Linked DNA regions of Macaca mulatta. The protein of the gene in region 1 interacts with the protein of each later gene in a pairwise test. Links are inferred from orthologs where the notes say so. Each region holds a gene or a part of one and is shown on either strand. Other genes may lie near its edges. The genes, in order: SMARCE1, CEP70, TFIP11, CDR2, RALBP1, CCDC136 and TRIM54.

The links.
Region 2: the proteins of SMARCE1 (region 1) and CEP70 interact in binary tests that used the Homo sapiens proteins (3 or more experiments, as listed by UniProt). The two-hybrid records come from large-scale screens. The link is inferred for Macaca mulatta from reciprocal best matches to the Homo sapiens genes SMARCE1 and CEP70.
Region 3: the proteins of SMARCE1 (region 1) and TFIP11 interact in binary tests that used the Homo sapiens proteins (3 or more experiments, as listed by UniProt). The two-hybrid records come from large-scale screens. The link is inferred for Macaca mulatta from reciprocal best matches to the Homo sapiens genes SMARCE1 and TFIP11.
Region 4: the proteins of SMARCE1 (region 1) and CDR2 interact in binary tests that used the Homo sapiens proteins (3 or more experiments, as listed by UniProt). The two-hybrid records come from large-scale screens. The link is inferred for Macaca mulatta from reciprocal best matches to the Homo sapiens genes SMARCE1 and CDR2.
Region 5: the proteins of SMARCE1 (region 1) and RALBP1 interact in binary tests that used the Homo sapiens proteins (3 or more experiments, as listed by UniProt). The two-hybrid records come from large-scale screens. The link is inferred for Macaca mulatta from reciprocal best matches to the Homo sapiens genes SMARCE1 and RALBP1.
Region 6: the proteins of SMARCE1 (region 1) and CCDC136 interact in binary tests that used the Homo sapiens proteins (3 or more experiments, as listed by UniProt). The two-hybrid records come from large-scale screens. The link is inferred for Macaca mulatta from reciprocal best matches to the Homo sapiens genes SMARCE1 and CCDC136.
Region 7: the proteins of SMARCE1 (region 1) and TRIM54 interact in binary tests that used the Homo sapiens proteins (3 or more experiments, as listed by UniProt). The two-hybrid records come from large-scale screens. The link is inferred for Macaca mulatta from reciprocal best matches to the Homo sapiens genes SMARCE1 and TRIM54.

What each region holds. Positions count from the first base shown.
Region 1 is NC_133421.1:65,012,063-65,015,562, reverse strand, and holds part of SMARCE1 (SWI/SNF-related matrix-associated actin-dependent regulator of chromatin subfamily E member 1), read left to right. Parts: intron 1-2,626; coding exon 2,627-2,799; intron 2,800-3,295; coding exon 3,296-3,397; intron 3,398-3,500. UniProt on the Homo sapiens protein: Involved in transcriptional activation and repression of select genes by chromatin remodeling (alteration of DNA-nucleosome topology).
Region 2 is NC_133407.1:41,523,804-41,527,303, reverse strand, and holds part of CEP70 (centrosomal protein of 70 kDa), read left to right. Parts: intron 1-2,062; coding exon 2,063-2,150; intron 2,151-2,237; coding exon 2,238-2,326; intron 2,327-3,500.
Region 3 is NC_133415.1:25,052,231-25,055,730, reverse strand, and holds part of TFIP11 (tuftelin-interacting protein 11), read right to left. Parts: coding exon 3,496-3,500; intron 1,206-3,495; coding exon 1,078-1,205; intron 217-1,077; exon of another isoform or gene 1-216. UniProt on the Homo sapiens protein: Involved in pre-mRNA splicing, specifically in spliceosome disassembly during late-stage splicing events. Intron turnover seems to proceed through reactions in two lariat-intron associated complexes termed Intron Large (IL) and Intron Small (IS).
Region 4 is NC_133425.1:21,841,763-21,845,865, forward strand, and holds the start of CDR2 (cerebellar degeneration-related protein 2), read right to left. Parts: upstream 2,801-4,103; 5' UTR 2,726-2,800; coding exon 2,647-2,725; intron 1-2,646.
Region 5 is NC_133423.1:80,490,931-80,494,430, reverse strand, and holds part of RALBP1 (ralA-binding protein 1), read right to left. Parts: intron 2,243-3,500; coding exon 2,081-2,242; intron 1,159-2,080; coding exon 1,027-1,158; intron 1-1,026. UniProt on the Homo sapiens protein: Multifunctional protein that functions as a downstream effector of RALA and RALB. As a GTPase-activating protein/GAP can inactivate CDC42 and RAC1 by stimulating their GTPase activity.
Region 6 is NC_133408.1:168,424,956-168,429,034, forward strand, and holds the start of CCDC136 (coiled-coil domain-containing protein 136), read left to right. Parts: upstream 1-1,279; 5' UTR 1,280-1,310; coding exon 1,311-1,368; intron 1,369-1,779; exon of another isoform or gene 1,780-1,973; coding exon of another isoform or gene 1,974-2,016; intron 2,017-2,147; coding exon 2,148-2,255; intron 2,256-4,079. UniProt on the Homo sapiens protein: May play a role in acrosome formation in spermatogenesis and in fertilization.
Region 7 is NC_133418.1:97,700,357-97,704,404, reverse strand, and holds the start of TRIM54 (tripartite motif-containing protein 54), read left to right. Parts: upstream 1-1,248; 5' UTR 1,249-1,527; coding exon 1,528-1,695; intron 1,696-4,048. UniProt on the Homo sapiens protein: May bind and stabilize microtubules during myotubes formation.

The DNA.
Region 1 (3,500 bases):
AAAGCAGGAGGATTGCTTGTGGCCAAGAGTTTGAGACCAGCCTGGGCAACACAGCAAGACTCTGTCTCTACAGAATACTTAAAAATTAGCTGGGCATGGTGGCTTGTGCCTGTAGTCCCAGCTGCTCCAACTGAGGCTGAGGTGGGAGGATCAATTGAGCCCAGGAGTTCGAGACTGCAGTGAGCTATGATCATGCCACTGCCCTCCATCCTGGATGACAGAGCAATACCCAGTCTCAAAAAAAAAAAAAAAAGAGGGCATGTGCAATTATCTACACAAGACAATGAAGGCTTTTGTTCAATGAGAGCCTCTTCATGGGATAAATAGCTGTTCAATTAGATCATAATTAGAAAAGCCATTCCCCGAAAAAAGGAAGCAGATGACTTACATGCAAGGAAGAACAAGCCCAAATTCTTAGACCTTATTACCCCATCTGTGGTCAACACTGGGGCCATATAAATGAAAGAAGAAAATAAAAAATAACAAAAACAGATAACTTAGACAGACGTAGCACAGATATACCACATATAACCCTAAAGGTGAAAAACTCTTAAAAAGTAGAAAGATTACAGAGTTTTTAAAAAAACTGTATCTTACCTAATAGTTTTAATTTCAGAAGTTTATTTCCTAAAGGAATTACTCAAAAGGAAAGAAAAGTAATTTTTTTAACTTTTTACAAAAACAACAGTTTTTAGCTATAGTATTTATGATAATGAGAATTTTAGGAACTGCTTAAGTGCAAGACAATAAGAGAGGTGCTAAACTGACATAGGAGCACCACAAAGGCCTCTAACAGGGTTCCCTCTAACAGGCTTTCCTCTGTAACAGGCTTCCCTCTGTAACGGGGTTTCCTCTGTAACAGGGTTCCCTCTGTAACGGGGTTTCCTCTGTAACAGGGTGTCCTCTGTAACAGGCTTCCCTCTGTAACGGGCTTCCCTCTGTAACGGGCTTCCCTCTGTGACGGGCTTCCCTCTGTGACGGGCTTCCCTCTGTGACAGGCTTCCCTCTGTAACAGGCTTCCCTCTGTGACAGGGTGTCCTCTGTAACAGGCTTCCCTCTGTGACAGGGTGTCCTCTGTAACAGGGTGTCCTCTGTAACAGGCTTCCTTCTGTAACGGGCTTCCCTCTGTAACGGGGTTTCCTCTGTGACGGGCTTCCCTCTGTGACGGGCTTCCCTCTGTGACAGGCTTCCCTCTGTAACAGGGTGTCCTCTGTAACAGGCTTCCCTCTGTAACAGGCTTCCCTCTGTAATGGGGTTTCCTCTGTGACAGGCTTTCCTCTGTGACAGGGTTCCCTCTGTGACAGGCTTCCCTCTGTGACAGGGTTCCCTCTGTGACAGGGTTCCCTCTGTGACAGGCTTTCCTCTGTGACAGGGTTCCCTCTGTGACAGGGTTCCCTCTGTAACGGGCTTTCTCCTCTGTAACGGGCTTTCTCCTCTGTAACGGGGTTTCCTCTGTAATGGGGTTTCCTCTGTAACAGGGTTTCCTCTGTAATAAGGTTTGCTCAAGTATGGTTCCTCCCTGTCTGGTGGGACACTGAGGTGATTAAGTGGGTCAAAAAGGAGCATTTGTTTTGTATGTATTGCTACAGAGAAAGCTTTTTTTTTTTTAAATGAGTTAGTTTAAAGAAAAATATTAAGTAAACAATAGTACAGGCTGTTAGTAGATATATGAAAAACTATGAAGGCGATAGAGCAAAGACTGAGATTAAGGAAACACTAGATACCTATTAAAAATAAGCATATAGGGTGTGCGCAGTGGCTCACACCTGTAATCCCAGCACTTTGGGAGGCCAGGATGGGCGTATCATGTGAGGTCAGGAGTTCAAGACCGCCGTGGCCAACATGGTGAAATCCTATCTCTACTAAAAATACAGAAATTGGCTGGGCATGGTGTCATGTGCCTGTAATTCCAGCCACTTGGGAGGCTGAGGCACAAGAATCGGTTGAACCCGGGAGGTGGAGGTTGCAGTGAGCCGAGATTGGGCCACTGCACTCCAGCCTGGGTAACGGAGTGAGATTCTGTCTCAAAACAAAACAAAACAGAAGCATATAAACCAGACCCGTACAGCTGGCTAAGTGTAAACTGACAAAAATTAAATTTGGAATCAAAACATTTATTTTTCTTCTATAAAATTCCTTGAGGGCCTGGGAAACTGAATATTGTTAGAGATGATGTTTCCTCTGCTGTGATAATTTTACAAACTGGCATTTTCATAAAGTCACTGCCCAGTTCATATGTTGTTCGTTAGTTGTTAAATGCCTTAAGTCACTACCAAGAAAGTGAAACATTGGGCAGAATTTCAATTACTGCCATCACATGCAGCTTTCACATTGATTCCAAAGCCAGAAGAGACATGTTGTATCTCATTTATGTTTTAGCCAAAGCCTTCTCAGACACACATCATCACTTAAAGACTGTGAGATAAATTACTACCTTGGCCAGTGAACACATTACGTCCTCTGTATGGTTTTTATCAAGTAACTGCCCAGTGCTCCCATGACGCTGGTCAGGTCCCCTTGTTAGGCCAGCAAGGGCCATGGTTCCTTGATAATTAAGTGTTAACATGTTACACTCCTTTTTATGGTTACTGGTGACCTACTTTGCAGAACAATTTGTTCATTGCAGATTATGATGATGGCTTTTCAATGAAGCATACAGCCACCGCCCGTTTCCAGAGAAACCACCGCCTCATCAGTGAAATTCTTAGTGAGAGTGTGGTGCCAGACGTTCGGTCAGTTGTCACAACAGCTAGAATGCAGGTCCTCAAACGGCAGGTCCAGTCCTTAATGGTTCATCAGGTAAAGTCATAAAACTTTCAATAAAATGGACCTATACCACAAATCCCAGCTGACGTGATTCCTACACCATGCCTAAATGTACCTGTTAAATATGTCAGTCTAAACTGTTCCTGATTTGGAGAAGAGGTTTAAGGAAGTGGACCTTTCCCAAATGTTTAATAAGTTTGTCATTAAAAACTATAATATAGAACCTTGTAATGGAAGGTATATTTGTTAAGAAGTACATGTGAACTTAAGAATTTTGAGGCGTCCTATCAGTCTTTACTGCTCTACTAAATACTTTTTCCAAAGGAATTGCTCAGGCCTGAAACAGTATTCTTTAACATTTACCTATTGATCATAATCATTTCTTTGTGCTGCATTTTGTATTTTTTAAATCTTAGCTAGACTCATGTAATAAATGATCTAAAGTTCAAAACATTATTTGGTACACTGTTTGAAAGTATGAACCATTAAAACAGGAGATATGATTGTAAAGCCTGATCCTGTCTTGCAGCGAAAACTAGAAGCTGAACTTCTTCAAATAGAGGAACGACACCAGGAGAAGAAGAGGAAATTCCTGGAAAGCACAGATTCATTTAACAATGAACTTAAAAGGGTATCTGTTTAATATGTTAACTATACTTTTATCACCGTACCTGTTACTTTACTTTTCCTCATTCTTTTTTCCAAAATAATATTTTTATTGAATGTTGTTCACT
Region 2 (3,500 bases), on another chromosome or scaffold:
TACTCAACTAGGCTGTTGGAGCACAAAATCAGACACAGATAATATGTAAATGAATTGGCACAGGTGTGTTACAATAAAAATAGTTACAAAACCAACAGCCTGCTGAATATAGCCTGCAGACAGCAGTTTGCTGACCCCTGATCTAGATGATGAAGAGAGGGGATTTGGGGTTTTTGGTAAGAGTAGAATAGATTTAACATAACATAGCCATCAGGAAATTTTTCATGTAGAATATGATGTGAGAGGTACTTGTAGAGTTCTGCAAACGGGGTTCTCTGACTAAAGGTGACAAAAGGATTGAGGCCATTGGAGTGGTGGTGTTGAATTTAGTTGTCATGAGTTTGTAATGAAAATCTGGGGTTGAGGAACAAGCGACTTGGAGAAGAATCACTTTTTAGCTTAAAAAGCTTTTCATTAGTTGTCTAGCTGAAGTAAAGTATTTTGGCCTATGCAGATTATCCTTGGGTCAGATATTTGGATTGAATGTCTTATTGAGGGAAGTGGAGGATAGGAAGAAAATATGAGATACATTAATAAATAATATTCTACAAATGAGAAAATTTGCAGCAATAAAAAGAGTCTCCTAAGGAGGGGGTTTTTCAGGATTCATTGACTGAAAGGAGTTTATATTATAAACTCAGTCTCCTTTTTAAGAGTGAGTACTAACTTGAAAGTGAGATTCTGGCAATTTCAGGATAGATTTTGAGATCTACCAATAGGATATAAGTATCATCTAAAGAAGTAGGAGTACTGTAAAAAGAGGATGTAACAATTCATTGACAAGTATTACATTAGTAAAGAAGATGAAAGAGGAGAGAGGGGAAGACAGGCTAAGATTTGGAGGCCTAAGTAGGATAAACAGGAAGCACAAGAGAAGAGCTATAAACCTGTAGAACTGAAGCAGCAAGACCAAAGGAAGAAGACAGGCGGGACATGGGCCTCTTGCAGTGGCAAAAGCTTCTCTGCTTATCCATTTTTTTAAGGCCAGTGTTGTCCAAAGTTTTTTGTTGTTGTTGTTGTTTTTATCATCAGACTATATGCACATGCATAAAATAAACACATTGGGAATAAATAAATCATTTGAACTGAATCAATCCATTGATAACTTACTAGACTGGTGATATGTTTATGTGTAATACTAGAAATCATGCATGTACCCAGTGCACACTAGGCTACAATAGTAATACTTTATGCAACAGTTAAAGCAAAATGTAGTCCTTAAACAATAAAGTTGTACTTAACAGAAAAGTATTTTATACTGCTTCAATTTTTAAATTTAAGATTTAATGAAATTCAAAGTTTATTTCTTTGGTGGCATTACCCATATTTCAAGTGTTAAGCGGTAACCACTAGCTCATGTAGCTGTTGGTTACCATATAGGACATCACAGTGATAGTTAATCAAGATTGCTAAAAATAATCATATGTATTTGCTAGCACTTTGCATTTCACAGAGTCCTTCAGTATCTTTCGTTTGCTTTTTACATCAGTCCTGTAAAGTAGATGTGACAGATACTGTTTTACAGATGAGAAAATAAATTCTGAGAGATTGATTTATTCAAATAATACAACTAGTTAGTGGTGTTATCAAGGCTTGAACCAAGACTATTAAATCTGTTGCTTTTTCCACTTATGATCTGCATTTTTTCATATAGGTTTTTTGGTTACCTAAAAGTACTAGAAGGAAAAAATAGTATGTGAATGCATTTTTTGAAAGAACCTGGATGTTCCACCCATGTTTCGTTTTGTTTATTCGGCAGTGCTTTTTCACCTCTTATAGTCCATAGTTTTTCTAGGCAGTGAGATACAGTGGTGAATAAGACAAAAGTTCTGGTCCTCATGGATCATATATTCTAAATAAAAAGAGAGTAAATGGATATTGTATGTCCTATAATAATAGATAGTAGTAGTGTTCTAATACCATTCTCTATGAGAACAAGTAGGAAATTTGAATTAATTTTAATTCATGTTTAGATGATTAAACCCTCATTATGTTGGTTTAATTAGATTTTTTTCTTTGAAGATAGATTTTTCATAAGTATACTGCATGCATATTTTCATAGGCAATATAAAGAAGATGAAAGTCAGTCAGAAGAAGAAAATGACTACAGAAGTCTGGATGCCTCACCAACTTATAAAGGCCTTTTAATGGTATGGGGACTGCATAACCAATAAATACTTTTTAATAAAGTAAGTAATCTAAGAAAGTTAATTATTTTTCTATGAAATGTGTTGCAGTCATTACAGAATCAACTCAAGGAGTCAAACTCTCAGATTGATGCACTTTTAAGTGAAAAGCTGAACCTCCAAAAAGATTTGGAAACCAGGTGAGAGAAACTTAAGTTTTTTTTGTTTTGTTTTTTTTCTGAGACAGGGTTTCACTCTGTCACCCAGGCCAAGTGCAGTGGTGTGATCATGTCTCACTGCAGCCTTGACCTCTAGTGCTCAAGACTAATCAAGTCCCTTAGCTGGGACTATAGGTGCGAGCCACCACACCCAGCTAATTTTTAAAATTATTTATTTTTAATTGAGACAGAGTCTCACTCTGTCCCCCAAGCTGGAGTGCAGTGGCGCGATCTCGACTCACTGCAACATCTGCCTCCCAGGTTCAAGTGACTCTCCTGCCTCAGCCTCCCGAGTAGCTGGGATTACAGGTGCGCGCCACGACGGCTGGCTATTTTTTGTATTTTTAGTAGAGATGAGGTTTCGCCATGTTGGTCAGGCTGGTCTTGAACTTCTGACCTCAAGTGATCCTTTCTCCTTGGCCTCCCAAAGTGCTGGGATTACAGGCATGAGCCACCACGCTCGGCCTCTAATTTTTTAATTTTTTGTTTGGTAGAGATGGGGTCTCCCTGTGTTGCCTAGGCTGATCTTGAACTCCTAGGCTCAGTGCCGGAATTCCCAAAGTACTGGAATTACAGGCATGAGCCACTGCATCCCGGTCAATTTTTCTTCATCCTTTGAAAAGTAAACATATACTGGAATTTGGAATATTAAATGCACCATTCTATCTCCTTTGCTCTAAAGCTAATCATGAGTACATAATATTCTTATTCTCACTTTAGTCAGTTCTCTCCCACGATAACTTATGAAAGGAACAAGAACACACGGGTAGGCAAGGGAAATGAGAAAATAGGAGTCCACATGGAAGAAGTTAAAACTAGCTAAGAACTTCAAATAAGCTGGGCACAGTGGCTTTCGCCTGTAATCTCAGCACTTTGGGAGGCAGAGGCAGGCGGATTGCTTGAGGCAGGAATTCGAGACCAGAGTGGGCAACATGGCAAAACCCCTTCTCTACAAAAAATATAAAAATTAGCCGGGTGTGGTGGTCTCTGACTGTAGTCCCAGCTACTCAGGAGACTGAGGTGGAAGGATCACTTGACCCCAGGAAGGCTGCAGTGAGCCATGATCATGTCACTGTACTCCAGCCTGGGTGACAGAGCGAGACCCTGTTTAAAAAAAAAAAAAAAAAACTTAAAATAGATTCAGTCTTTTTTTTTT
Region 3 (3,500 bases), on another chromosome or scaffold:
AAACTTTCTTAGCGTGATGGTAGTAGAATCCAGCCCACAGAAGTTGGTTTTGGAGTTGTCATTATGTTTTTCTCATACTGGTTAAGACTTGTCATTTTTTTCTCTAAAAGTATCTACACATCTGGCTACTTTGGGAAAATCAGAGGATCAGGCAATACTAAGCCCACATCCTCATAAGCAACAATCACCTAGAGCTGAATAAAGATTTACCTTCTAGACAGGCTAAGGCCTCACCTCTGTGCCACAGTCCCCACCACTCTTTATTGTCTAGCATCTGGCTCATCTTACTTGCTTCTGTGGTGTGCCTGGCACCTGTAGGCTTCTAAGTCTGAGAACCCCTGACTCAGAGTGGTCAATCCCACATTATCAAATGACTGTGTCATCAAAAGGTCAGTGACAAGAAGAGTAACGTGTTTCTTTGCAGCATCCTGCTTTCCCCCATAAATTCAAATGGGAAAAGAGTAATACTTCAATCAACAAAGCTGGCCCCTTCTATCACTGGGGAAAAGGGACACACAGCTGCCAGCAGATGGCTCCCTGCTGCACTTGGGATGAAACCCAAGCACCTAAAAATGGCTGTCAAGGCCCATCTTGTGGCCCGCCCACCCCTCTGAATGCACTTCCTTCCCCTCTGCTTTGTGTACCACCCTCCCACCACAACGGCTTCCTTTATGGTTTCTTAACCGGCAAGCTCAGAGCCTCTCAGTGTCCTCAGGCTTCTCAGCTCACCCTTCTGCCAAGTCTCAACTGAAATGTTTCCTTTCCTCAAAGGTTTCCCTGACCAGCCTATTTATAAAAGTAGGTCAACACCACCTCCCAACCCCCAACCTTATTTTCTGTCTAGGCAGGTCCTAGCACCTTCTGCCATTTCAACTGCCACTTCCACACCATAGCTGCTTGTTTACTCTCTGTCCACCGTGCGCCCTCTCATCATGGTGCACCTAGCCTTCAGCCCAGCACCTGGCATATGGTACGTGTACAATAAACATCTGAGGACTAACAGAATGAAGGGATAAATGAACAGCCATTAGAAATGGACAGGACACCACCCACCCATGTCTCCTGACTTCCAGTTACCTCTTCAGCTTCTTCCTCTGAGTCAACCACAGGGAAGTCTTGCATTGACTGCGTGGTGCGCTCGGATCCATAAGCCCCCACAGCACCTTTTCCCTTTCTCTGCTTGGCTTCGATTGGGTTAATGATACCTGAGGAATTTCAGCAAAAGATAAAAAAAAGACAGTCTTATGATCACAGCAATTCATGTATGTGAATCAGCCACTCAGTGAAATGACAGTTTCTTGCTCCTTCCACAAAATAACACGCTACTCAAGGAGAGCTATTCTCTGCCCTCAGAACACTACTCTTGTCCCTTGTGATTTGAAACTTATGAGCATTTATGCTACCACAGAACAGTCTGCTGACTGGTTTATTTATATCCCAAATAGATTTCCATTTCTACTTGGATTGTTTCAGTGGACAAGAAAACAGAACACTACATTTATAACCGAGAACTCCAGCATACTAAATTCTACACTTCACTTCTTTGGAAGCCTCTATTAGGGAAAATGCAATAATTCAGATACTATATTGACTCTGACTGAAGTGAAGCTGTAATTTAATATAAGACTCATGTATTTTACTTAGGAGTTCCTATCTCCTATGTTTAACTTTTTTATAACAAGTTTAAGCCCTAGAAATAAATGTTGCTTTTCTCATAAAAGAGTTTACGAATAGGACCACAACATTTCAATGAAGATGTTGCCCCCCCTCCAAATTTTCCATCCCTGCCTCCCTTCCATTTAGTACAGCTGAAGTCTCAAATAAGAGCTATCCCTGGGCCAGGCATGGTGGCTCATGCTTGTAATCCTAGCACTTTGGGAGGCCAAGGTCTTGAACCAGCCTGGGCAACATAGTAAGACCCCATCTACAAAAAAAGAAAAAATTAGCCAGGCATAGCAGAGTGTGCCTGTCGTCCCAGCTACTCGGCAGGCTTGAGCCCAGGAGGTTGAGACGGCAGTAGGCTATGATCATGCCATGCCACTGCACTCCACCCTAGGTAACAGAGTGAGACCTTGTATCAAAAAAAGGAAAAAAGCTGTCCCCTCATTCTCATTCAGCGTATCCTTGCTTAAGTTCATGTATTTTTCATGTACCTAATGTTTTCAACACATAACCTGGATTTCACTTTAATAATTATTTAGAGGCCGGGCGCAGTGGCTCACACCTATAATCCCAGCACTTTGGGAGGCCAAGGAGGGTGGATCACTTGAGGTCAGGAGTTCGAGACCAGCCTGGCCAACATGGTAAAACCCCGTCTCTACCAAAAATACAAAAATTAGCTGGGTGTGGTGGCAGCTGCCTGTAATCCCTGCTACTCGGGAGGCTGAGGCAGGAAAATCGCTTGAACCAGGAGGCGGCGGTTGCAGGTGAGTCAAGATCGTGCCATAGAACTCCAGTCTGAGCGACAAGAGTGAAACTGTGTCTCAAAAAGTAATATTATTATTTAGAGACTCAAATTTGAATATGGAGGACACATTTGATTATATCTACTTGGCAATCATGCATAGGATATAGCTCAAGAAGAAGGGGAAATGTTCTTGTAGGAAGAATCCAAGTGTTTGGTTTGAGAGGCTTTGGTCTCAAGAAGATAAGAGTGTGACAGGGGCTGTGTCTCAGTGAGGCTGGCCATGAGAAGACAGGAGGAGACTGGGCTACTAGACGAAGATGGAAGTAACCAATGAAGGATTTGCTCAGCCAATTTTACAGCCATATGGCTCTAATTATTAAAAAAGCTAAACACAATGTTTTACTGATATTCCTGAAGGACAAATAACCGTTTCTGCAAAACTAAAACCCTTGTGAGTAGGGATGGCAAACTCAAATGACTTCGGGACCAAGAAAAGTTCCTGTGGGTTGGGGTGGAAGACAACAGGGGGCCGTGGAGACTGCCTCCAAGAGAAGACCATGTCCATTGTCCCAGGAGCAGCTCTCACTTGCCTCAACTAACTACTGCCAGGCAAAATCTAGAATTTTAGGTGAAATTGTCTGTTTTTTAAATATTAGCAACTAATTCATTTTTGTCTTTATTTATTCTATTTATTTATTTATTTATTTAGAGACTGAGTCTCACTCTATTGCCCAGGCTGGAGTGCAGTGGTGTGATCTCGGCTCACCGCAACCCCCACCTCCTGGGTTCAAGCGATTCCCCTGCCTCAGCCTCCTGAGTAGCTGGTCAGGACCAGAAAAAAAGCCTGTCTCCAACCTGTTTGCAGCCTATTTTACACCCTAACCCTTTTCTTCTTGTTGAAACAATTACTTATTTAACTTGAGCTTTGATAAAGCAAGGTAGCTTAGGAGTGCAAATGTCTTGTGCTGGCAAACCAGGCTAGAGAGAGTGAAAGTGCTTTTAAAAGGGAAAAGCAAACCTCCTCTCCCAATGCCCCTCTCCTTTCCTCTGCCTGCCCTCCATCACACAAGACGACCAAAGTGCAATACCTTGT
Region 4 (4,103 bases), on another chromosome or scaffold:
AGCAGCTGGGACTACAGGCGCCCACCACCATGCCCGGCTAATTTTTTATTTTTTGTATTTTTAGTAGAGACAGGGTTTCACCGTGTTAGCCAGGATGGTCTCGTTCTCCTGACCTCGTGATCCACCTGCCTCGGCCTCTCAAAGTGCTGGGATTACAGGCGTGAGCCACCGCGCCTGGCCAGACCTGTGTTTTTAACGTTAAACTTGAAGAGTTGATGACTTTATTTTGATCAGAGGTTAAAGAGAATTCCACCTGTAACCCTGACACGCTGCACTTGCTGCTTGATAGACTGAAGTGTTACAGCTGGTGGTTCCAAACAACCTCCAACAGTGGGAGAACGCAGCGTGGACTAAGGCACCTGATGGAAGAGAGCCATGAAAACACTTCTGTGATAGTGCTTCAGTGCAGTTCAACAAATACTAAAATCGAGCTTCCAGTATGTGCCAAGTATTATGCTAGATGCTGGGAATACCAGAAAAAAGAACCTGCCCCCTCTATACCCTTAAGGATTTATGCTTCTTAAATTTTTTTTTTTTTTTAAGACAGAGTCTCGTGTCGCCCAGGCTGGAGTGCCGCGGCGCCATCTTGGCTCACTGCAACCTCGGCCTTCTATATTCAAGCAATTCTCCTGCCTCAGTCTCCTGAGTAGCTGGGATTACAGGCACATGCTAATTATAGGCACGCCTGGCTAATTTTTGTATTTTTAGTAGAGACGGGGTTTCACCTTGTTGGTCAGGCTGGGCTCAAACTCCTGATCTTGTGATCCACCCGCCGCGGCCTCCCAAAGTGTTGGGATTACAGGCGTGAGCCACCGCACCCGGCCTATGCTTCTTAAATACAGGAAAGAAAAATATTTAGTTGTGATGATACAAATTAAATTATAGGGAAATACTGCAATGGCACAGTGGTTGCCTCACAAATCCTGGAGAAACTATCAAACTAGGCCATCAATCCCTATGGGGAAATCTGAAAACAGGTTTGTTAAAACGTATGAGAAATGTGTCCTTTGGACATAAAGATGATGCCACCAAACACTGCACTGCAACCACTAAGCAGCTTGGACTCTATAAGCGTAATAAAGGTGAATTACTTTGGTTAAAGTGATTGCATGTTAATTTAAGAAATTATCTTCCTCCAAAAGAGGTGCTCGTTTTATTTTCCTTTTCTGAGTTACTCAAGTCTACACAGTTTCCTTCTGCCATGTTCAGTGGTTAGCATGAACAAGCATCTGCCATGTTCAGTGGTTAGCATGAACAAGCATCTGCCATGTTCAGTGGTTAGCATGAACAAGCATCAGCATCATTCAATATTTAACTAAATGAGATGTTAATTTTCACTGCAAGATTAGAGCTGAAAACATTTACATAGAATTGCAGAAACCAAAGATGCCGGGAAAAATTCCTGAGGATTATTCACAGTGTTCAGTATAGCGGTTAAGAATGTTTGCTCTCGAGTCTTAAGGGGAACCCTAGCACTCCCCAACATTATCACCTCTATTGTGTTACTGGGAGATAAATGAGCAACTCTGTTATGGGCCTATCAGTGTTAGGCACATCAAAAGTGTTCCCCAATTGCTAGCTCCTGCTATTAGTATAAAAAAAAGTGGGGCCCCACTGGCCCCAAAGTGTTGGCTGCTCTATGATTGTTCTCTGGAGACACCATCGGCAGGCCTATTTCTAAGTGAAAGCTGGCATGCAAACTGAAGAAAAGTGGCAGAGGTAGAAGCGCTCTTCTGTCATTTCAACTGGCATCTGGTGAACTATGCGTAACAGCTTAATTCCCAACTGAAAAAAAACTGTTAACTAGGATGGTAAGGAAGGGATGGGGGTTTGAGGAGTGACTACAACTCCTCCTTTTGAGTGTGTGGGTTCAAAAAACCACTCCCTCCCCCACTTAGCTTTAGGCAAGCCACTCAACCGTTTCAACCTCCGCTTTCCTCATCTGGAAAATGGGATAACAAAAGTTACTCTCAGTGTAATTGGATTGTTTGTACCTCAATGGATAAATGCTGGAAGGGATGGACGCCCCGTTCTCCATCACGTGCTTATTTCACACTGCGTGCCTGTATCCAAACATCTCACGTACCCCATAAATAGATACACCTACTATGTACCCTCAAAATTAATCAATTTTTTAAAAGTTACTGTCTCCTAGAGTTACGGCGCAGAGCGCACAGCTCCCGCTACATCGCAAAACCACTACCACCTGCAGCAGCCGGCCCTCCGTGCTGGCCAAGAAAGGCGCTGGGCTACACAGCCTGCGAGGGGGCGGCTTCTCGGGCTCTGCCACTTACTACGGGACACACTGGCTCACCCGGTCTGCCTCGGAGGAATGCAGTGAGGATTAAACTAGCTAATCCACGGAAAGCGCTTAAAACGGTGCCTGGCGCGTCCCTGGCCCCCATGCGCCTCGGGTCTGATATTCAACTGCGCATTAGCAGGGCCGTGGGCCCCGCGCCGAGGCTTCCTGCGGGCGGGATCCACGGGCACGGCCGGCCCCGCCGCCAGGTGAGCCCGAGCCCTTCCCGGCACCTGCATCCTCAGCCGCCAGAAAAAGCAACTTTTTAACAGTTTCGCAGCGGGGGCCTCCCGGGCCAGGCCGCCGCCGCCGCCGCCCGCCCGCCCGCGGGGCGCCCCCGCCCTCACCTTGCTGGAGGTCCTGGTGGTCGTACCACGGCTCGTCCTCCTTCATTTCAAACTCCTCCACCAGGTTTTCCGCCAGCATCTCGGCTGGGTCCTCTAGGGGCAACGGTCCCCGCCGCCGCCGTCCCGCCTCAGCCGCTGCCCCGGGCTCTTCCCCGGCCCCTCCGCCCTCAGCCAGAGCCGCCCTCGGGCGGGACGCGCCGCCGCCCAGGCTCCGCCGCGCCGCCTCAGCCCCGTTCCCGCCGGCGACCGCCGCCGACCGGCCGGCTGCTTCGACTCGCCTAGCGCCTCCCAACGGCCCCAACGGCCGGGCGTTACGGCGCGAACGTAGGGAGCCAGGTTCTCACGCTGCCGCCGGTCTTCACGCCGCCGCCGGGCCCAACGTGGCACTTTGGCAGAACCCTCCCCGGCCGGGGATGCGATTCAAACCCCCGGCGGCTTCTCAACCAATCGCGAGCGGGCCGCTGGCCGAGCGACAGGGACTTCGTCCAATAGCGTCTCTCCAAAGACCCGCGGCTCGCCCGGTTTCGAGGCCAAGCAGCCAATGACGGGCCCCGAATAAACAAAGAAGGCGGGGAAACAGTGAAGGGGTGCGGCCGAAAGCCCGCCCCCTGATCTGCGCTGTGCGGCTCCTAGGAGCGCGTACTAGGTTCCGGGCTGTGGAGCTGGCGGAGGCGAGTCCTGCCGCTTTGGTGGGTGTCCCGAGGCCAGCGCGTCCGTGGACAGGCAGCGCAGGCCGGAGGGCCTAGGACTTCGGCCTCTGAGAGGCGGGCGGTTGTCGAGAGGCGTCCTTCGTGCCGGCGGGAAGCGCGAGGGTGCCGGAAGCCGGAGGTCCGCCGCCCGGCTGCCGCTTCTCGCATGTTGACTCTGAGATTTGCTCCGGGTCCGGCAAGGAGACTCGGAGTCGATCGGGAGTTTAGGGCTGAGAAAACGCCCACTGAGCGGTAGCTCTTGTCTCGTTGACATCTGAGCTCTGGGAATTACGCTCCCTAAAACGGTGGGCGCCAGACCCCGTTGAGAATCTGGGGCAGTGAGGGATGCCCGAAGCTGTCCACTTGGAGGGGGAAAATTGTAAGCAGGGTTGCAACGATTTTTAAAAGGTACCTCTAGACCACAAGTTAAGCATCTGGGGACGTGGCATTGCACCTGGAGGGGTCAGGCTGCAGCCCCAGCACTTAGTAGCCAGCAAGGCAGAGCACGCTGTCCTCCACCGACATAACCCAGCAAATACTGCTCATGAGTAAAGCTTTTAGCACCATCTTACAGACAAAGCACGGAAACTCTTAAGCAGGATGACAGACCTGAAGGTCAATGTTCTCAACCTTGACGTAAAGGTAAAATTGCAGCTGATGGAAGACAGCAGGGCCAATATCTAGCAAACTTTGAGCAACGAAACAAAAAAATCGAGGTTTAAGTATATAATTGAAAGATTATCTCTAGAACATAAGGTAATAAACTGT
Region 5 (3,500 bases), on another chromosome or scaffold:
GTGATCCAGAGATCTGGGATTTTACTGTTGCTGTGGCTGGTCCACTCACAGTCCCAGAACCAAGCAACACACACTAAACAAGAGGGAACTCAAAAGTCTGACTGGTGTACCCTAAACTCATCAGGTACTGCATGCCCCTCTTCTTCTTATTACATAAATAGAATCTCTCCTGATCTTCAGGACCTTCCAGGCAACCCTCATCACTACATTTCCAAAGAGCTGATACTAAATGCCTCAAATTCCAGCAGTCCCCGAAGGTGTGTCACCATCCAGCCTGCTTCTCATCTGCAGAAAGCCTTGTTTACAGGTATAACCGAGCAGGAAATGACAAATTTTTTAGTAAATTCATTTTTAATTAAAACAAAACTTTCTAGGCCAGGCATGGTGGCTTATGCCTATAATCCCAGCACTTTGGGAGGTGGGAGGACTGCTTGAGCCCAGAAGTTTGAGACCAGCCTGGGCAACATAACAAGACCCCATTTCTACAAGCAATAAAAAATCAGCTGAGCATGGTGGCACACACCTGTAGGCCCACCTACTCAGTACTCAGAAAGCTGAGGTAGGAGGATCCCTTGAGTCCAGGAGGTCGAGGCTACAGTGAACCATTATCATGCCATTGCACTCCAGCCTGGGTGACAGAGCGAGATCCTGTCTCAAAAAAAATAAAAAAAACGTTCTAGATTACATTGAAACATGTGACTGACACCAGGCTGCAATATCAATAATACAGGACTAGAAACATTTTAGTGAATAAATTTCCCACCAGAGAAGTTCACTTCAAGTGACATTATCTATAATATTCTTAAAAGAAAGAACTTGGGCTGGGCGTGGTGGCTCATGCCTGTAATCCCAGCACTTTGGGGGAGGCCGAGGTGGGAGGATTACTTGAGGCCAAGAGTTTGAGACCAGCCTGGTCAATATCAAAAGAAAAAGGAAAGAAAGAAAATACTTCAAAGAGCACATAAAGGACATAAAAGACTCCAACACGTTCTATTATAAACATTAGGTATCAAACTAGTAACCCACCTGTCTTTTAGCTTCTCTGAGTTTTCTTTTGAGGGCTGTCAAAATTCTTTGTACTTCCCATAATCTTTCTTCTTTAGACAAATCCTTTATCCCGCCCTGCAGATCTCGATGTAAACAATTCAAAAGAAACTCCTAGAAAGCAATGCCACACACTAAGTTGCATTCCATATCCTCTTATCTTAAACAACACATGCAATTTCTAAAGATGAAGAATCAACTATTTTTCAATTATCCTTTATTTCATTAGAGTAAAATAATGGCACTGATATGATTGAAAAATCATTCTTATTGTTTTGCCAATGAATTATTCGCTAATTTGTATTGGTTCAATAATACTTAACATCCCCATCTCCAATGTCATCATCATTAACTAGTAAGAACTGGGAGCTCACGGCAGACACAAGGGAGGAAAAGCAAGCAGAGGTTTGATAAAGTGCATGCAAATAAATAATCAAATGTAATTAACTTTCTTATTTAGTCTTGATTACACACACCCACACAAACACGGCATGGTTACTTCCATCAAAATAACATAGTAAAAACGCCCAGGATTTGGGCTCAACTCTTGGGTCTATAATAAATAATCATGTTACTTAACTTCCCCAAATTTTAATATTCTTATCTATAAAATATGGCTGATGACAGCAACCTTGTCCAGAAAAAGCAAACATTTTTAGACTATTTACAGCGTGCCTGGCCTGTTCCATGTATTGTCTCATTTGTGGCAAAATCTTCACACCAATCCTTGAAGAGGGCCCATTTTAAAGCAAGAACACCAGCGCTTAAGGTGGTTAAGAATTCGCCTAAAATCAGTTATAACTGAGAGCAGAGCAAGAATTTAAAGCCAGGTCTTTTGATTCCAAAAACTATGCTCTTTCCACCATGGTATTCCGACTTATTCAGCATGAAACAGTACCAGATGGGAATTTTTGACTTCAGTGTGCCTCACATAGCTCCAGACACACAGAAAGTGCTCAGGAAACAAGAGCCCATCACCACTGGACTCCACAATGGCCAATGCAGACGCAGGCTGTGGCAGGCAGGGTGCACACACCTGTCTCCTGATCTCCTCCTTGATGCCCGCCTGGGTCTCCGGCAGTGTGGGCATCGTGGCCATGTTAGACCATCGCAGAGGTTTCGTCACTTGCTTTAGTACCACATTTCCAAAGAGTTCTTGCACATGTGTGAAAAACACATACAAGACTCGATTGCTGATCTAAGAAAAAAAGATTTACAAGAAAACCATTAAAATTATCATTCTATTTCAGTTATTTGTGTCTAACATAATATATCCTTTAATCCTGGACACATAAAGAAAATTCTACCCAGTACTGACAACACAGTCTTTGCTAGTTAATGGTCAATTTAAGAAGAAAATGGTCAATTTAAGAAGAAAACTCATAAAATATGAGTTAAATCATGTATTCAAGCACCAGAAAGAATTGAAGAGGAAAAAAAAAAACCAAGAAAAGGATAGAGAAGCTGATGCCCATTCATTTGTTTTTTTTCTTTCTATCACTACAGTATTAACTGATTAAAACACCTTATTTTTTTTGAGTATTGTTTTGTTTTTTTGCTTTGAGATGGAGTCTCGCTCTGTAGCCCAGGCTAGAGTACTGCGGCACAATCTCAGCTCACTGCAAGCTCCACCTCACGGGTTCAAGCGATTTTCCTGCCTCAGCGTCTCTGGTAAGCTGGGATTACAGGTGTGCGCCACCACGCCTGATTGATTTTTTTGTATTTTCAGTAGAGATGGGGTTTCACCATGTTGGCCAGGCTGGTCTCGAACTACTGACCTCAAATGATCTACCCACCTCAGCTTCCCAAAGTGCTGCGATTACAGGCATGAGCCACCATGCCCAGCTAAAACATCTTATGTTCTTTATTTTCAACTTACTTTGAGATATTTTAACAGCTACAATGGGCTGAATGAGGACCGTGAGGGAAGTGAGAGCACCACAGCAGTAAAACTGGGTTGAGGTTGAAAGCCCTCACTCCAGAAACAAATACCTGGACACAGCCAGCATTTAAGTGTGGATGTTCACATGCTAGGAGACCAGGGCATTAGGTTGGCTGAAAAGCTACTACAAGAAATTACTTCCTACCTAAAACTTACTCTTACAACACACTTGACTCTTCTATGATACAACCATCTCTATTATATTATAGTAATATTAAGTATCAATGTAATATTTACCAGATCCTGAAATCCTAATATGAGTGATCAAACTAAAATCTGAGAAACATTTTGCTTTCAAAGTGTAACCAATGAATAACAGAAGAGTATTTTTTAGAGACAGAATTTTGCTCTGTCACCCAGAGAGGAGTACAGTGGGATGATCATAGCTCACTGCTGGGCTCAAGCAATCCTCCTACCTCAGTCTGCCAAGTAACTAGGACTATACATACATGCTACCACACCCAGCTAATTTTTTATTTTTTTGTAGAGACGGGGTCTTGCTATGTTGCGTAGG
Region 6 (4,079 bases), on another chromosome or scaffold:
CCACCCCTTGTTTAGCATATCATCAAGAAATAACCATAAAAATGGGCAAACAGCCGCCCTTGGGGCTGCTCTGTCTATGGAGTAGCCATTCTTTATTCCTTTGCTTTCCTAATAAACTTGCTTTTACCTTATTCTACGGACTTGCCCTGAATTCTTTCTTGCGTGAGATTCAAGAACCCTCTCCTGAGGTCTGGATCCGGACCCCTTTCCTGCAGCGGGGGGAACGCAGACAATGTGAGTGAATGTGCTAGAGAAGGGATCTGCGTGTGTCCCTGGCTTAGGAATCTCCCAGCCATTTCCTGGATGTGCTGGGGAGCCCCTGTTGCGAACTGTACCCACTTCTATCCTTGCTGAGACCTGCCGAGATGTGAGAACTGCCTCTTCAAAAGCCGGCACCCAGTGGACATAGCTTGAATAAAAGAATGGTGGAAGACGTGAAATAAGCCCCCTGGGCTTCCAAATCTCCCTTCCACGAGAGTGAACATCAGTCGTGCCCACTCTCGCGGGCTACAGTGGGGGCGTGGCTCACAGCCCACCTGGTGTGGGACCGGAAGGGAAGGCAGGGCGGAGGAGAGGGGGTCTTCGGGCCCTGAGGCTTGGTGGGGCCACCGGAGGGCCCCCCTAAGAGGGTCCCTGGCCCTGGTTCGGTAGGGGGTCGCAGAAAGCGGAAAGGTCAGGGCCCTGCCGTTCGCCCATCAGGGCCTCGACTTCCCTCCTCCGGCCCCCAGGCTGCCGAGGGGCCACCGGGCAGGGCTGAGCAGGGCCTGAGGCCGGAGTCCGCGCCGACTGCTTGGTGGGGGCGCCGGCCGGGCGGGGGAGGGAAGGAGGGAGGGGCGCGCGTGTCTGTGCGCTTGGAGGAAACAGTCCCACCTCGTCCTTTGCTGTCCCCATTGCTGAGCATGACTGGGCCCTGACACCTGGTGCAGAAGGGTCCCTGCGCACAGCAGATCCCGGGGGGATCTGCTGCCAGAACCAGGGGATCTCGCTCCTCCCTCTTGGGACAGCCTTAAGCCTAGGAGCTCCTGACACTGTCCGGGCCCCGCAGCTCCCCACGCTCCCTCGGGGAGAGACTTGGGGCGTATCTGGGGTCGCGCTCACCCTCCCAAGCCGCCCCCTGCACCGGCTCGGAGCTCCCGAGTGCTGGGAGGGCTTCCGGGCGGCGGCGAGCGGCGGGGGGCGGTGTCAGGAGGCCCGGCCAGGCCCCGCCCCCTCTCCCGCCCCCCCCCCCTTCCTGCGCACCCGGCTCGGGTCCCCGGGCTCGCGGCTGCGGCTTCTGCTCGGGGAGGCGTAAGGCGGCGGCGGGAGCGGTCATGGAGGCGGGCGCCGGAGCCGGCGCGGGAGCCGCGGGCTGGAGCTGCCCGGGACCAGGTCAGAGCCGCCCCTCCCTCACCTCTCCACCGCCCCTCCTTTCTCTCCTCCATCCCTCCTCCCTCCAGACCCCCAGGTGCTCCTGGCCTCCGCGGCTCCCCCTTCTCCGCCCAGAGTCTTCCTCCCTCCATCCTGGCCTCCACCGGGGCCCGGTCTCCATCTTTCCGGCCTGGGGCTGGGGCTTCAGCGCACCGGCCGCATCCTGTCTGGTGGTCCCTCCCCAGCGCGTCTCTCCACTCCAGTCCAACGGTGCTTCCAGCCTTCGGGGCTCCAGACCCCGCACCTCCTGCAGCCCCGGAGATTCCTGAGCGCGGGGCGAGGGTGGGGTGGGCAAGGTCCAGCGAGAGAATGAGAGGGGAGGGGAGGGGAGCGGTCGCTGCCCTACCCCTTCCCACACGCCCCCCACTCCTCCCTCCCTCCGTAGGCCACCTCACCCTTTCAGCCTCTTCTTCACTGGCTCCCGCCCTCTTTCTGTCTTGCCCCTCTCCTCCCTGTCTCCCTGGACTAAATACGCACACCCCCTCTTTCTGTGCAAGCAAGAGGGGCCTGGAACAGGGGGTTCTGAGGAGGCTGGGCGTCAGGACTGGGGTCTCCGCAGGCAGAGCATGAGAGGTGGTGGAGAGAGAGAGGAGTCGCAGAGACGGGAGAGTGAGTCAGGCACCTCCACTGGGATTACAGATCCCAGAGCCCCGAGGAGCTGGAAGGCATGTCCCCTTCTTTGCACCCCAGCCCGCAGCCAGTCCCCCATCCCCCAGCCCTTCCTTTCTCCGTGCTCTCAGGACCCACAGTGACCACTCTAGGCTCCTATGAGGCCTCTGAGGGCTGTGAGAGGAAGAAGGGCCAACGCTGGGGCTCCCTGGAACGACGAGGGATGCAAGCTATGGAGGGTGAGTTTTCCCAAAAGGCTTCTTTCTTTCCCTTCCCCTCCTCCCTTAATTCCCTTTCTTCCTCCCTTTGACCCCCAGGCCTCTAAGCCGGGACACAGCCCTTCCCTCAGTTCATCTTAGCCCCTCTTCCTGCAGCTCAGAGCGCCAGCCCTTCCCAGGGCTCAGGCTTTGACGGAAGTTTAGGGTGCATCCCTTCGGGACCCCAGTCAACCCCCAGCTAACCAGGTTGTGTGTCCCTAGGGAGCTGCCAGACAGAGAAAGAGGCCTGGTTGGACAGAGCTTTGAAGCAGCCTTTCAGCAGGGGGTTTGTCCTCACTGCCTGCCGACCCAGATCCCAAGCTGTCTCTTATTATAAAAAGCCAGGAACTGGGCATGTGAATTGTCTTTCTGGGGCCACCACCATTAACTTCGAATGGAAGCCTGTGGCTTTGGTTCTCTAGGATACCTTACTGCCTGAAAGAGATTGCCTAGGAGGGGGCGTGTGAGGCCATCCTCCCAACACACGTGTATCCCCACCACACCCATGTGACTTGGCAGTTGCTGCCAACACCAGGCCCCTGGAAGGACGCTGGTCCATTTTCCAGGACTTTCTGTGAAGTATTGCACGTTGCACATTCAGTATGGGCAAACCTGCTCCCCCTAAGAGGGACAGATGGCACAAGGGGTCCCAGACGAACCTAGGGCTGCTGATGTTAGATAAAGTAAGACCAGAGATTCAGAATTTTAAAACAAAGCAAACAATCATCATCCAGACAACATTTTGCTATTTATAGGGACTGCATTGCAGTAAAGGAGCGGGTGCTCACAACCAGAGGCTGGGGGCCAGCACCAAACCCCAGTTTTTTTAATGCATTAAAATAGCAGGCTTTCTTTTACACACAAGTACAGCCTAAAACTTCCCCTGAAAGCTGCTTTGTGGTCAGCAGAGTAGGAGGGGCTTCATATGGCTCAGCTAGGGGAGAGGAGACTTTGTGACATGCAGCAGGGAAAAACAAGGTGGACCTTGTAGAAAATTTCAAACAGGTATTTAATAATATACATTTGAAAGGGCACCAGCGTTTATCCAATGAAACCTCTACAATCAGATATTTTCTTTCTCTACCTGCTGACAGGCAATGCTTTCTTATTACGGAAAGGCTGATTTTTCACAAGCCACCTGGATAGTGTTTTGTTTGGTTGTTTTTGTTTGTTTGTTTGTTTGAGATGGAGTCTCACTTTGTCGCCCAGGCTGGAGTGCAGTGGCTCGAACTCGCCTCCCTGCAACCTCCACTTCCCATTTTCAAATGATTCTCCTGCCTCAGCCTCCCAAGTAGCTGGGATTATAGGCATGTACTACCACGCCCAGGTAATTTTTTTGTATTTTTAGTAGAGATGGGGTTTCACCATGTTGACCAGGCTGGTTTGGAAGTCCTGGCCTCAAGTGATCCACCCACCTCAGCCTCCCAAAGTGCTAGGATTACAGGCATGAGCCAGCATTCCCGGCCAGTTTTGTTTTGTTTTGTTTTGTTTTTGTTTTTAACTTTTGAGAAATCTCCAAACTGTAACTGTTACCCCATTTGACCGAAAGATCCACTCACTGTCTCCTTTCTTGACTACTTGTCCTGCTACTCAGAGGCCAGCCTAGAAGAAGCAGGTAATCCTGTGCAAGTGTCTCATGCTGAGCGGGCACCAGCCTGCCCACAGGCAATGGTGGGAGGCTACCATGTGCAACATTGGTCCAGGAAGGGCCTGGGAGGTGGAGGGGCTGCCTCTCAACTTGACCCTCACACCTGAGGATTCATCTTGAGTATAGGTCTTGCCCAGAGGCACCTTGGGGGATACCAG
Region 7 (4,048 bases), on another chromosome or scaffold:
CAAAAATAGGGGCATGAAATATGTGATCCGGAGAAGATTGCACTTTCTGGACTCTTTTCCCACTCTTGCCTCTTTGTGCTGCTGTTTCGTATCCTCCTCACACCGTGTATTTCCTACCCACTCAGGGTCACTACCTACTAACTCCTCAGACTTCTCTTCCTGGACTGGGAGAAGGGCTAAAGAATGGCGGTAAATAAAAGAGCTTTTGTCCAATCCCAAGGCATATTTTGGACCCAGAAAAGACAAATTGTGTCTGGGGTGGAGGAAAAAGGCCTAAAGAAATTGCTTCTTGGCTTTTTGGCTAATATCAAGTGGAGAAAAAGACCTGTAGGAGAAAAAGAAGACCAGTGCTCACAACTGGGGCGAGCCTGGCTTGGAGAGGAGGAGTCCTGGACAACTGTGGAGCTGGGGCAGAGGCTTCCTGGAGCCTTATGATTATGACTTTGTCAGTGCTCTAAAATTTCCCTGGAGGTTGATTCCCTGGGTGCCCAAAATAGGTCCCTGGCATTCATGTCCTTTCTGCCCAGCTCACCTTCTCCCAATTTCCTAACAAATTTGAAGTCCTTGGAGTGGCTCCAGGGATGTGTTCACGAACCAGAATCCCACATTTCCTCGGGCGCATGCTCATAGGTAGGTCCAGGCCTTGGCACAATACTCATTTCTAGCCTCTTGAGCTTCATTTCCTAGGGTGATATAAGAAAAGGCAGGCAAGAACAAAAATGAGCCAGAGGTATTGGACAGGAGGCTTGATGGAGTCTCTGGAGCTGCTGTTCTGAATCACACAGTCTTGAGGAGGAGGACCAGGGTCACTGGCTGAGCCTGTGGAGGAGGCAACTGCTACTGACTCTAAGTCTGGCAAGATCTTTCCTCCCACCCTGAGCTATGTATGGGTGCTTCTCACACAGGCAGATTTAGATTCTGTGTCACTGTCCTGGAAGAAGGGCCCAAGCCAGAGCAGGGGTCCTGGGCTCAGAGGAGCCTTCAGAGTGAGAGGGCAGCACCTTTGCTGACCCACCTTTCACCGTAAGCAGTGGTGCTTGCCCCTGCCCTTGCTCAGGGGAGTCACCCATTCCTGAGTGAGTCAGGGTCACTCACTCCGTGACAGCTGTGGCTCGCCTTACATGAGCTAAATTGGGAATTGGAATGTCATGCAGATGCCCCTTGTCTCCCCACCCCCACAGTAAAATTAATCTCCTCTCTGGGGAGTAAGGGACAAACAGTGCTACCCACAGAGTGAACAAGAGAGAGTCATTTGGGAAACAAAAGGAGGACTTTACAGAGAGAGAGGGATAGCTAAAACTACGTGAGCCTGCCGAGGGTGCAGAGCAGAAAGTGGAGACAGAAGTGTCTGAAGACTGCTATCTGGGACGAGACAAGTTGTTAAAGGGACAGGAGAGAGAGCAGAGCTATTTCAAGAGTGAGCCACAGAAGGGAATCCACAGGCCGTCTGAGTGAGGAAGGGTCTACAGACAGTGAGTGAAGGCCAGGAGCAGGACCCAAGCCAGGGTAGGCACAACCACCGAGGGGATGAACTTCACCGTGGGTTTCAAGCCGCTGCTAGGGGATGCACACAGCATGGACAACCTGGAGAAGCAGCTCATCTGCCCCATCTGCCTGGAGATGTTCTCCAAACCAGTGGTGATCCTGCCCTGCCAACACAACCTGTGCCGCAAGTGTGCCAACGACGTCTTCCAGGTGGGCGCCAGGGATGGGGCAGGGCCAGGTAAAGCAATGCAGACCTGTGGGGGACTGATCAGGTCAGAGCTAAGACCCCAGAAAGTGATGGATAGAGTGCTCTCTGAGGTAGGTGGTGGCTGTTGTGGCTGGAGAGCAGAAGGGCTGGGGTCCAAGCAAATCCCAGAGCAAGCATGAGTCAGCAGCTGCCCTGCAGGCTGGCAGGTACAGCCTGTCCATAGACGGCAGCTGGAGTGCTGGGATCTGCTGAGGAAAGGAGACCCTGTGGAAACTGGGAGGGAGGGGATCCTACACCGGTCTTTTAAGAGCCTGTGCCAGACTCTGCATTCCAGTTTGGAGTTTCACACTTTGAGAGCATTGCGGAAAATACGGAGAAAAGATTAATGAGATAATGAAACATTAAAAAACAAACAGAAAAAACCCAACCCTGTGAGAAAGCTCCATAATGGCAGTAAAACGATTCGTGTTTAAGGAAAGTTCAGGGCATCCGTTGTGGGGGACAGAGTTAGACGCAGTGGGCAGGAGACTGGGAACTCTTCCCCAACTTGAGTTCATACCTGTTACCTCCAGATTGTTGAGTAAAGAGGCCTACTGGTTCAAAGCTATTGAGGTCACTTGACAAGCAGAGAGAAGGCAAAGAAATTTACTTTTAGAAGTCTAGCCAGTTTTGGTTTATTTGTGGTCATGGAGCCAAGCATAGCTAATCAAATTCACAGATACCATTTTAGCCACTGGTTTAGAAATAAAAGCTGCATATACCAGAATGGATTATAAGTGGGCTTTTTTTTCTTTTCCTGTGCTACCGGGGAGGTTCTAGTAGGCTATGAAATGGAACAGAGATCAGGGAGAGTGAGGGGCAAAGGCACACACACACACGCGGCCTTGCCGATTAAGCAAAAGCCCTGAATGTGGCCGGGCGTGGTGGCTCACGCCTGTAATCCCAGCACTTTGGGAGGCGAGGCCGGCGGATCACGAGGTCAGGAGTTCGAGACCGGCCTGGCCAATATGGTGAAACCCCATCTCTACCAAAAATACAAAAATTAGCTAGGCGTGGTGGCAGGCGCCTGTAGTCCCAGCTCCTCAGGAGGCTGAGGCAGGAGAATCACTTGAACCCAGGAGGCGGAGGTTGCCATGAGTCGAGATCATGCCATTGTACTCTGACCTGGGTGACAGAGCAAGACTCTGTCTCAAAAACACAAAAACAAACCCTGAATAGACCAGAGCTGGCTTAGTATGTGTGTCAGTGATACGGAACATCCCAAACAAGTATTCTTCAGTGTCAGAAATGATGAGGAAATGTGTTAAACACAAGGGATTTTTAACCTAACCAAGAAAATACTTCCCTCTTAAGTTCCTCGGGGCAGCTTGTTTGGGAAAGGAATGGACTGGCTAGGTCCCGCCATCCCACGATGTACCCTGTGACCCGCCCCTTGTATGTCTGCTGTGTGTCATCTTCACTGAAGACCAGCACTCTGTGGTCTCTCCTGCCATCTTCCCATTGAGGCCCATTCCCTCTCCTATTCTTTTATGTGTCCAAACCTGCCATTATTCAGCTCCAGAGTATCTCAGAGGCAGTAGATTTTCCGTCTCGGGGGACCCAGACCAAATGCTATGCCTCCTCATCCTGTGCATGAAGTCCTGCATGAGAGGCAATGCTTTGCCCACCATCTTGGTGTTTCCTTGGTCTGAGGAATTCCGAACATCCTTCAGGCTGAGATGCCTAGGAGGAAATGGCGGAAAGATTTTGCCATCATTTCTCATGAACTGACAGTGAAACATCCTCTCACTGGAACTTGAAATGCGTGAAAACAAAGAGAAGTTTTGAAAGTTAAGGTGACGTGTCCTATAGAAAAGTGGTCAGAATGTCCAAGAGCATTCCTGGGTGCCTCTGTCGTCTGGCAGAGGGGCCCAGGAGCAGTCCCCATACATGGAGGCTAGAATGTGTTCAAGTGACATGCTTGTTTAAGTCAACCCTTTCTACCCAAGCACACTGTTTCAGTTCCAGAAAGCTCTGGAATACTGATCTGGGCTCAGAGAGACCTTGGAATGGCTTGGGGCAAACCCTGTACAGAATATTTGGAGATAACGTGATACCCAGGGCTTTGGGGTGGCCCTGTGGGTCTGGAGTGATGTGTGTCGTTTGAGGTGCAGAGCAGCCCTGGCCCCTCCAAGGAGGAAGAGTGAAGAGCTCATCCCTTGCTGCTTATTTGGGAGGGCCTGGTGGGAGGCTGACCCAGTTCTTCAGCTGCACTCAAGTCTGTATATCTCAATATATCTCAGTAGATCTCCCTCGGAAAGATGAGCAGATTTAGTTTTTTCACACATTGCCTCCACATTTTGACAACTGTAGGCA